2 linked regions of the Oryzias latipes genome follow. Each later gene encodes a partner of the first gene's protein in a complex. Links are inferred from orthologs where the notes say so. Each region holds a gene or a part of one and is shown on either strand. Other genes may lie near its edges. The genes, in order: tert and dkc1.

What was found.
Region 2: tert (region 1) and dkc1 share a complex: the UniProt entries of both Homo sapiens proteins name them as parts of the telomerase holoenzyme complex. The link is inferred for Oryzias latipes from reciprocal best matches to the Homo sapiens genes TERT and DKC1.

Annotation. Positions count from the first base shown.
Region 1 is NC_019869.2:25,698,424-25,702,241, reverse strand, and holds part of tert (telomerase reverse transcriptase), read left to right. Parts: intron 1-62; coding exon 63-224; intron 225-409; coding exon 410-511; intron 512-598; coding exon 599-684; intron 685-886; coding exon 887-1,000; intron 1,001-1,082; coding exon 1,083-1,154; intron 1,155-2,131; coding exon 2,132-2,320; intron 2,321-2,411; coding exon 2,412-2,538; intron 2,539-3,230; coding exon 3,231-3,292; intron 3,293-3,818. UniProt on the Homo sapiens protein: Telomerase is a ribonucleoprotein enzyme essential for the replication of chromosome termini in most eukaryotes. Active in progenitor and cancer cells. Inactive, or very low activity, in normal somatic cells.
Region 2 is NC_019880.2:47,717-52,236, forward strand, and holds the start of dkc1 (H/ACA ribonucleoprotein complex subunit 4), read right to left. Parts: upstream 2,894-4,520; 5' UTR 2,818-2,893; coding exon 2,802-2,817; intron 2,074-2,801; coding exon 2,021-2,073; intron 1,954-2,020; coding exon 1,867-1,953; intron 1,352-1,866; coding exon 1,260-1,351; intron 1,190-1,259; coding exon 1,005-1,189; intron 344-1,004; coding exon 279-343; intron 1-278.

The sequences.
Region 1 (3,818 bases):
ACATCCGATGTTTTCCTTTCTCCACCCGTCTCTGACGGGCTCACCTGTGGGTTGGGCTGAAGGTGGATGTGAGCGGCGCCTACGACAGTCTGCCGCACGACAAACTCAAGGAGGTGATCACCGAGGCTTTGTCACCCGTCCAAGAGGAAGTCTTCACCGTCCGCCACTACGCTAAGATCTGGGCTGATTCCCACGAAGGCCTGAAGAAAGCCTTCGCCAGACAGGTGCAGATCCAGAGGAAACTTGGAGAAATGACTTTGAAGTGGAGCGTAAACAGAAAAATCCTGTTTGTTTCCAGATGTTTGCTTCCTGTTTTGATGCTCAGCATTTGCAGTACAGAACATTGTTTTTGGGGTTTAAACTCGTGTGATTGTGGCAAACACAGATTGATGGGATGTTTCCGACTCAGGTGGATTTCTCTGACGGTAGCATGGGATCCACCAGCATGAAGGGCTTTGTGATGTCCCTGCAGAAGAGCAGCAAAGTGCATCACGCCGTCCTGGTGGAGCAGGTACCGTGACCGTCTGCATGTTGTTCCTTTCATGCAGGCGTTACAACATTTCACTGTTTTACTTCTCACGGCTTCTCCTTCAAACAGGCTTTCGGCTCAAATCTTCGAGGCAAAGACGCCTTGCAGTTCTTCACGCAGATGCTCACAGGAAGTGTCGTTCAGCATGGAAAGAAGTACGTTCTTCATCTCCTACATGGATGCAGTAGCTCTGGCGAGCAGGTCGTCCACCAACTGAAGGGTTGGCGGATCGATCCCCGCTCTCCCCAGCCAGCTGTCGGCCCCCGAGCACGGGGATGAGTCAAAATGTGGAGAAGAATTTCCCCATCGAGGGATAAATAAAGTATCAATTATTATTATTATTATTTGTTTGTCCAGGACGTACCGTCAGTGCCGAGGGATTCCTCAGGGCTCGGTGGTGTCCTCTCTGCTGTGCTGTCTGTGCTATGGCCACATGGAGAACGTCCTCTTCAGAGACATCAAAAACAAAGGGTGGCTCTGTTTCTGTGGACACGTCGTTACACATCACCAACACAAGGGGGCAGTCTTCTGACGCTTTTCCTCTGTCCTGCAGGTGTCTGATGAGGCTGGTGGATGACTTCCTCCTCATCACCCCAGACCGCAACCAAGCACAGTCCTTCCTCAGGTACAACACACACACATCTGAACAAACACACACAGACACGCACATGCGTTAACACTCATATAAACACACACAGACACACCCATGCATGAACACACACATCTGAAAAAACAGACACACACATGCATTAAAACTCACACAAACACACGCAGACACACATGCAGAGAGACACACATACATACATAATCCTACACACGCGCGCGTGCATGTGTGTGTGTATAAATGTATATATGTATTTTGAGACTAAATACTGTTTAATAAACATAGTATGAACTATCAGTACATAACATTGTTTATGTACTGATAATTAAAAAACTACACAGTGAGATTACACAAAGATACTTTTGTATTAACATTTGAGGCGTTTTATTACAAAAACAGAAAGCAGCGACAATCGTATGTCATGCTCTGTTGTAAGCCATGCAATGGGGGGAGCGTGGCTTTTAGGCCTGCTGATCCGTGAGGAGCGCGTGCCACGGAAGAGGGGGGGGGGGACGGAGCAGGCAGCAAATTTAAACACGCATGTGCAGTGAAGTATGCATCAGAGGTTGTTCGAATGGCAGTTCTGCATGTCAATCAAGTCCTGTACTTCTCTGTAAGGATTTTGATTGGCTGGTGGATTTTTTAGAAGTACATTTTTATTTTTTTGGTTATTTATCTTTGCTGGCCTTTGATCTACCCTCATGTCCTTGAAGATCTACTGGTCGATCGACGTAATGAGCACCCCTGACTTAAACACACGCGCACACACACGTGCACACACACGCGCACACACACGCGCACACACACGTGCACACACACGCGCACACACACGTGCACACACACGTGCAGACATGTTACTGTCTTCTTCCTCTCTTCCTGGTTTCTCTGTAAACAGACTGCAGAGGAAGTCGTTGTGCATAAACTAAATCAATCATTTAGTTCACACACGAAACTCTTTGGTTTCTCTTCACTGTGACCCCACCCTTTCTCGTGTGAAGTATCTTGCTGGCTGGAGTTCCTCAATACGGCGTGGTGGCCAACCCGCAAAAGGTGGTGGTCAACTTTCAGGGGTCAGAGGGCGGCGGCGCTTTCCCCGACATCCGCGTGCTGCCTCCTCACTGCCTCTTCCCGTGGTGCGGCCTTCTGCTGGACACCCGCTCGCTGGATGTGTGCAAAGACTATTCCAGGTAAAAGCCTCCACCCTGAACCAGGGGACTGCAGCGAACACGGGAACATCACAACCTTCAGCCTAACTCCCATCACTGAAACCTCTCCCAGCTATGCAGGCCTCTCTCTGCGCTACAGCCTCACGCTAGGCTCCGCCCACTCCGCAGGACAGCAGATGAGGAGGAAGCTGATGTCCATTCTCAGAATCAAATGTCACCCTCTGTTTTTGGACTTGAAGGTTAGTAGATAAAAGATGCTTTGGTTCTAACGAATGACTAGAATGAAACAAAGAAAGAGTTTGATACTTTATAGCTCAGATGTGTTGGTCTGCATCCAAAAACTTGTGTTGAGTTTGGTTTAAATATTTAAATACACATGTTCCTCTCTTTTGTACTGCAAAGTTGAGGGAAATCTAAACTTTAAACCTTAAATCATAATTTCCTAAACTCCAGCTTTGTATTGTAAACAGACGAGTGTGAATCTAACAGTATCATCATATGACGTCAGGAAACCGCCTGATTTCCAGAGGCCTGAAGGTCACGTTCTTCTGTTTCAGCCAATAAAGTATTACCGATGTTTCTAAAAGCAATGGAAACGTTTGTAAAAATCCGACTGAAGCCATTAGGAGAACTTTCTCCATAAAAACATGAAAGGAGGAAAAAAACGGTTGAAAATCCTCCATCAGATGACGAAAAGAAGATGTTCTGGAGTTCTTTCTGAGAAACTGGTGGATCCTAACTGAACATCGTTCCTGTTCAGATCTTCTAGAGACAATGAGGTCAAACATCTTAGTGATAGAAAAGGCCCAAATCCCACCGCCGTTCATCTGCTTCTCCTGCCCTGCAGCAGATGTTGGAGACACGCCGAGTCTCCGTCCTCTTCTCTTCACTGACCAGGTTCTTTTGATCAATCCCTAAACTCTCTTCTCAGACTAATTCCCTCGAGTCTGCTTACAAGAACATCCACAAGCTGGTGCTGCTGCAGGCGTGCAGGTAAGACGACGAGCTGCGGCGCCATTTGTCTGATGACCTGAAGTTTTAGGTTCGATTCTGTGAAGACGCACAGGAGGGAAGGGCTCCAGAAAATAAATAAATAAAGAAAAAAACATCAACGTCTTCATTCCTATTCTGGATTCTATTTAGTCCCAAATTCTTCACTCAACTGCTCATTAAAATAAAGATGACACTTTTATTGTCTAACCCTCTAATGTTTCATATTAAGTTCTATCATTAAAGACTCACTCTGATGCTCTGATGAGGGTGCTGTTGGTGTTTTTAACATGTTCTTGGAGCATTTTTCTGATCAGAGGACAAACACTATAGTACCAAAAGTATCCGCTCACCTGCCTTGATTACATATGAACTGAGTCTGCATGACTGAGGGCTTAATGTAAGACACCTGTGACCAGAAGAAGTGATGAGGACACCTGATCATTTGGATGGATGAGCCAATACTTTTGGTAAAATAGTGTATATAGAGTAGATTAAGCTCAAAATTGCACTTGTCAGTATTTCTTTA
Region 2 (4,520 bases), on another chromosome or scaffold:
ATTACACAAGAATATGTTGTTCCTGATTAAATGACCCACATTCATGTCTGCAACCTTCAGTTTTCAATACAAAGAGGCTCCGTGCACAAAATGAAACCACTTCTTTGTTTCATTGTATTTCATGTATGTAACAATTCTCTTTTTGTTTGCAATAAAAAAAAAAAGAATTGAAATAGGATTTTACTCTGGAGGGTTTAAATGCAAGACCTTCCAGAACCTCAAGCCTCAGCCGTGTGTGCTTAAGGCAAGCTCTTACTGGATCATCAGGTCAGACTTACCCGGGCCAGAGCGTGCTGGTTCTCCACTGCATTGTGCAACCGGACGATCCCCACATACTCTTTACCTGCAACACAGAACAGTCAGGCTTCAACCAATCAACGGCTCCCAAATGGCTCGCAGCTAAAGGAACCAGTGCTTAGGTGAAGTGGGCCAATCACACAGTGCTGGCAGACTGAGGATCGCCCGGTGACAGAAGCAGATCCTTGTACTTTGACTCTGTAGCGGACCCATGGTCACATGGTGTCTGCAAAGACAGACGTCAGGCCAGCTGACTGCAGCAGCCAGGTGTGCGCGCACAAAAATATTCAGCAAACGTCCTGACGTGGACCAGGGCGGTCAGAGATGGCCTGCTGCTGAAATGACCCCCGTGCTTCCATATGCGTTACTAAAGCATCAGCAAAAGGTTTGATTTCGGATCATCAGTATCCGTTTTTTGTCTTTTCATTTATTAAAGCTAGAGTGTCCTTTTCCATCTTCATTGTCTGGACTAAAATTCACAGTTTTAGATAAAGCAAAAACTAAATAGAAACAGATTTGTGGGGGTCTGGTTTAGATCAGTACGGATGAAGTGGAGGGGGACATTGAAGAGAATGAAGAGTAGAAAAGCCTTTGGATCCTCAGCTCTAGTTCTGGATCAGACCCATCCCCTCTCAGGTCTTAGTGATTGTAATCTGCCAATCAGACCTGAAGCCCAAAACCCAGCCAGACACCCTCAGGACCCGTACCTGCACTCTGCTGCGATTTGACCAATCGTGTGGCACGGTCTATACACACAATCAGGCAGCCAGTGACCTTGGGATCCAGCGTCCCACTGTGTCCAGTTTTCTCCACTCGCAGAATCCTACGAATCCACGCAACCACCTCATGGGATGATGGGTTGGCTGGCTTGTCCAAATTGATGAAGCCAGACCTTAAGTAGAGGAGGCAGTGTCATTATGCAATCTGCGTCATAGCATTGACCCTACGCAACGTGAATGTACCTGACGTAATCTGCAATGTTCCTCTTCAGGGGGTTGCTGCCGTTGGGCAGGGGAGTGTAGTGGCCCGTCCGCACATTCAGCTTATCGAAGTTCTGCCAAAACAGGAAACAGTTTGAGGTCGATGTACCAACCGAAGCGAACACCTGGCGTTAAATCCTGAATTAGCTTTTTGTCTAAGGGAGAAACCAACCCCAGTACCAGGTTGCCCAAATATTCTCATGCCCTTTGACCCCATGCTGGTACTACTTTTTCGTAACATACTCTCCAAAAAGTAGCCATCTGAATCACTGCCGGATAGTGAAGCCTGGACCACATAGCCATTTTTTTGTTTGCTCACACATTTCCTGTTTCAAGGCGGCGTGTGATCAGAGCAGAGCATCATCTTGACAACAGTCTGGTCGCTTCCACCTCTACACGGTCACCTCCTATAACCTGGCAGAACGCCAGGTCACAGTTGGTGACCAGCAGAGACCAGGCCCCAAAGATGGAGACGGGCAAAGAAACGCCAAGACTGCAGTGCTCAGAGAATGGATAAACTGCTTCATCATGTCACACCAACATTGCCAACATGTCACATGACCCAGGCAGGGGTCGAGGTGGAGCTGACCTTGAGAAGGAGGGGCCATTGTGATGTGTTTAAAGATGTTGCCTTGGACTCTGGCTGGATGAAAAAGTCAGCACTCCTCTGGATCTCCTGGAAAACAAACAGTCAGCTCCAGCAGATCCATGAGATTACCTTTACTCCAGACAACATCACTCACCCCAACTTCTTCATCGCAGACTTTCTTCCCTTTCTTCTTTTTAACAGATGCTACTGCAGAAACACGGAACAGCAGATTAGTGGAGTGGCGTCCTAAGAACACCATTTACCTACTGTGAAGCATGGGGGTGGAAGCATCATGCTTTGGGGCTGCTTTACTGCTAAAGTCATCTCAATGGATCCTTAAAAATCTTGAATTCGTAGATTTTTGTCTCGAATCATCAACAAAATCTTTGACCGTTTTGGAGACCCCGCAGGTGGAAACGTTTGCACTGATCGTAAACCGGTTAGAACCGGTGCAGACATGAAACGGAGCCACGTTTTACTGCAGTTCGGCTCTGATCCGTTCGACCCAAAAACTGTCATATAATAAACTAGTCAGAACCTAATTGTGTTTCCCATTTTGATTGTGGCGCGCGCACATTTGAATCAAACAGGTGTTTGTTAAAAACTAACGACTTATTCCCAACGCACGTGGCGTTTCCTGCACGTCACGTGGACTGGAAGGACCACGCGGGGCGGGAATCCAAAGAAGCGCTCAACCCCTGAAGTAGCAGACCTCCAAAAGCGAACCGAATCTGACCCGGTTTATCGTGTAGGCCGCCCGGAGCAGGACGCACGTGGCGCGGTTCGGCCTGCTTTGGTGCGCGGCCTGCTCTGCAGAACGCGCCGCGCGTGCGATGGGAACTGCGTCAGTAACGCCGTGCGGGCGTGTTGATTTTGCATTAAGGGTAGCGGTTCTGATTCTGGCAAAACTTCAGAACCACGTGGGTCGCCCTTACCTTCAACCTCCGCCATCTTCTTCCAAGTGACTGCGTGCGAGCGTCCGCCTTCTTATTCTTTGGTCTACGAGCACCGGAAGACGATCGAGCCACATCCGGGGCGGGGCTAGAGAGCTTTTGGATTTCCTCTCATGTATTGGGATTACCGAAAAACTAGTTAACCAGGGTTTAGGCTCTTTATTCATCCAGAGTCTCGGGCACTGACAAACTCTCAGAAAAGGAATAAGACTTATAAAATAAGAAGGTTATTTCCCGAACTTCCAACCCAAAGAGACACTTAATGAATGTCATTTATGAAGATCTGTTTCTGAAGGAAACTGCTGTAGAAAATGTATGTTTTAATATCTTATTCTTCATTATGTTACAGCTTTATCTTTAGTGTGAAGTGAACTCATCAGGACTTATTCTCCAGTGACCTTCACTTGTGCTTTGTAGTTGCAGCAGCAACTAGGACTTCTTTGTGCAAATCTAGGAGTTTCCAGAGATGGAATAAATATGTCATGGACTACATTTCTACTATCTGGGTTGAACATCTTATCCTAGGGAAAGTGTTCAGATTCCTGTTCTCATGTGGAGGATGAAGCTGACCTCTGATCACGTGCCGGTGATGGAGTATCCGTTTGGCTGGTAGGATTTATTTGGACCAGATGAGGACTCTTGATCGTTGGATTGTGTGCGCCGGTGAAATAATAATAATAATAATAATGGATTAGATTTATCTGCGCTTTTCAAGACACCCAAAGCGTTTACATTGTGTCCATTATTCATTCACTCCTCATTCATACTTAGTGATGGTAGCTACGGTTGTAGCCACAGCCACAGACTGACAGAGGTGTGGCTGCCATTTCGCGCCTACGGCCCCTCTGACCATCACCGGGATCATTCATACACATCCACACACCAGTGGAGCCACACTGGAGGCAAGGAGGGTGAAGTGTCTTGCCCAAGGACACAACGACATTTTGGCTGGTGGGAGCGGGGATTGAACCGCCAACCCTTCGATCATTGGACGACCCGCTCAACCACCTGAGCCACTGTCGCCCCTTTGAAAGGCGAGCGGATCTGGAGTTGGCAACCTTCAGCTATTGGCCGGTGGAAGCACAAGGGATACCGGCTGACGAATCAGAGTGTTCCGGGGCGGAGATCCAGTGGTCATGATGTTTTCAGAAGGAGGAGTGTCAAACACATGTTTAAAAGACTGTTTTGGACGGACTTTACTGTTCTTAGGAAAATCTACGATTCGCATGTAATTCGCATGTAACTTGTGCGTCAGTAGGTCTTTACTTGAGAATCCAGATATATCTGCATTAATGTTTAATCTGTGCTCTAGAACTATTGTCAGGGAAATAAACTTCGTGTATTTTTAATCCGGTTGAATCCTTGTTTGCTTTACCACTCTCGTCTCGACTACTGAACATGCATGGATGGAAAGAACTGAAAAGCAAAGATTTCTTTCCTACACTGCTGAGACCAGAATGAAGTTTCCAAGCTCCATTTAATAATAATAATAATACATTACATTTAAAAGGGCCTTTCAAAACACCCAAGGACACTGTATAGGTTCAAAAGTAAAACACAGTAAAATCACAACATTCCTTCAGATTATGTAACATCTGGAATCCTTCTACCAAACAGAAATAAAGATCTCTGATGTCATTTAATCTGCACGTCCTTTATTCAGAAACAAAGAGTTATGAGAAGAAAGAATTTTTGAAATCT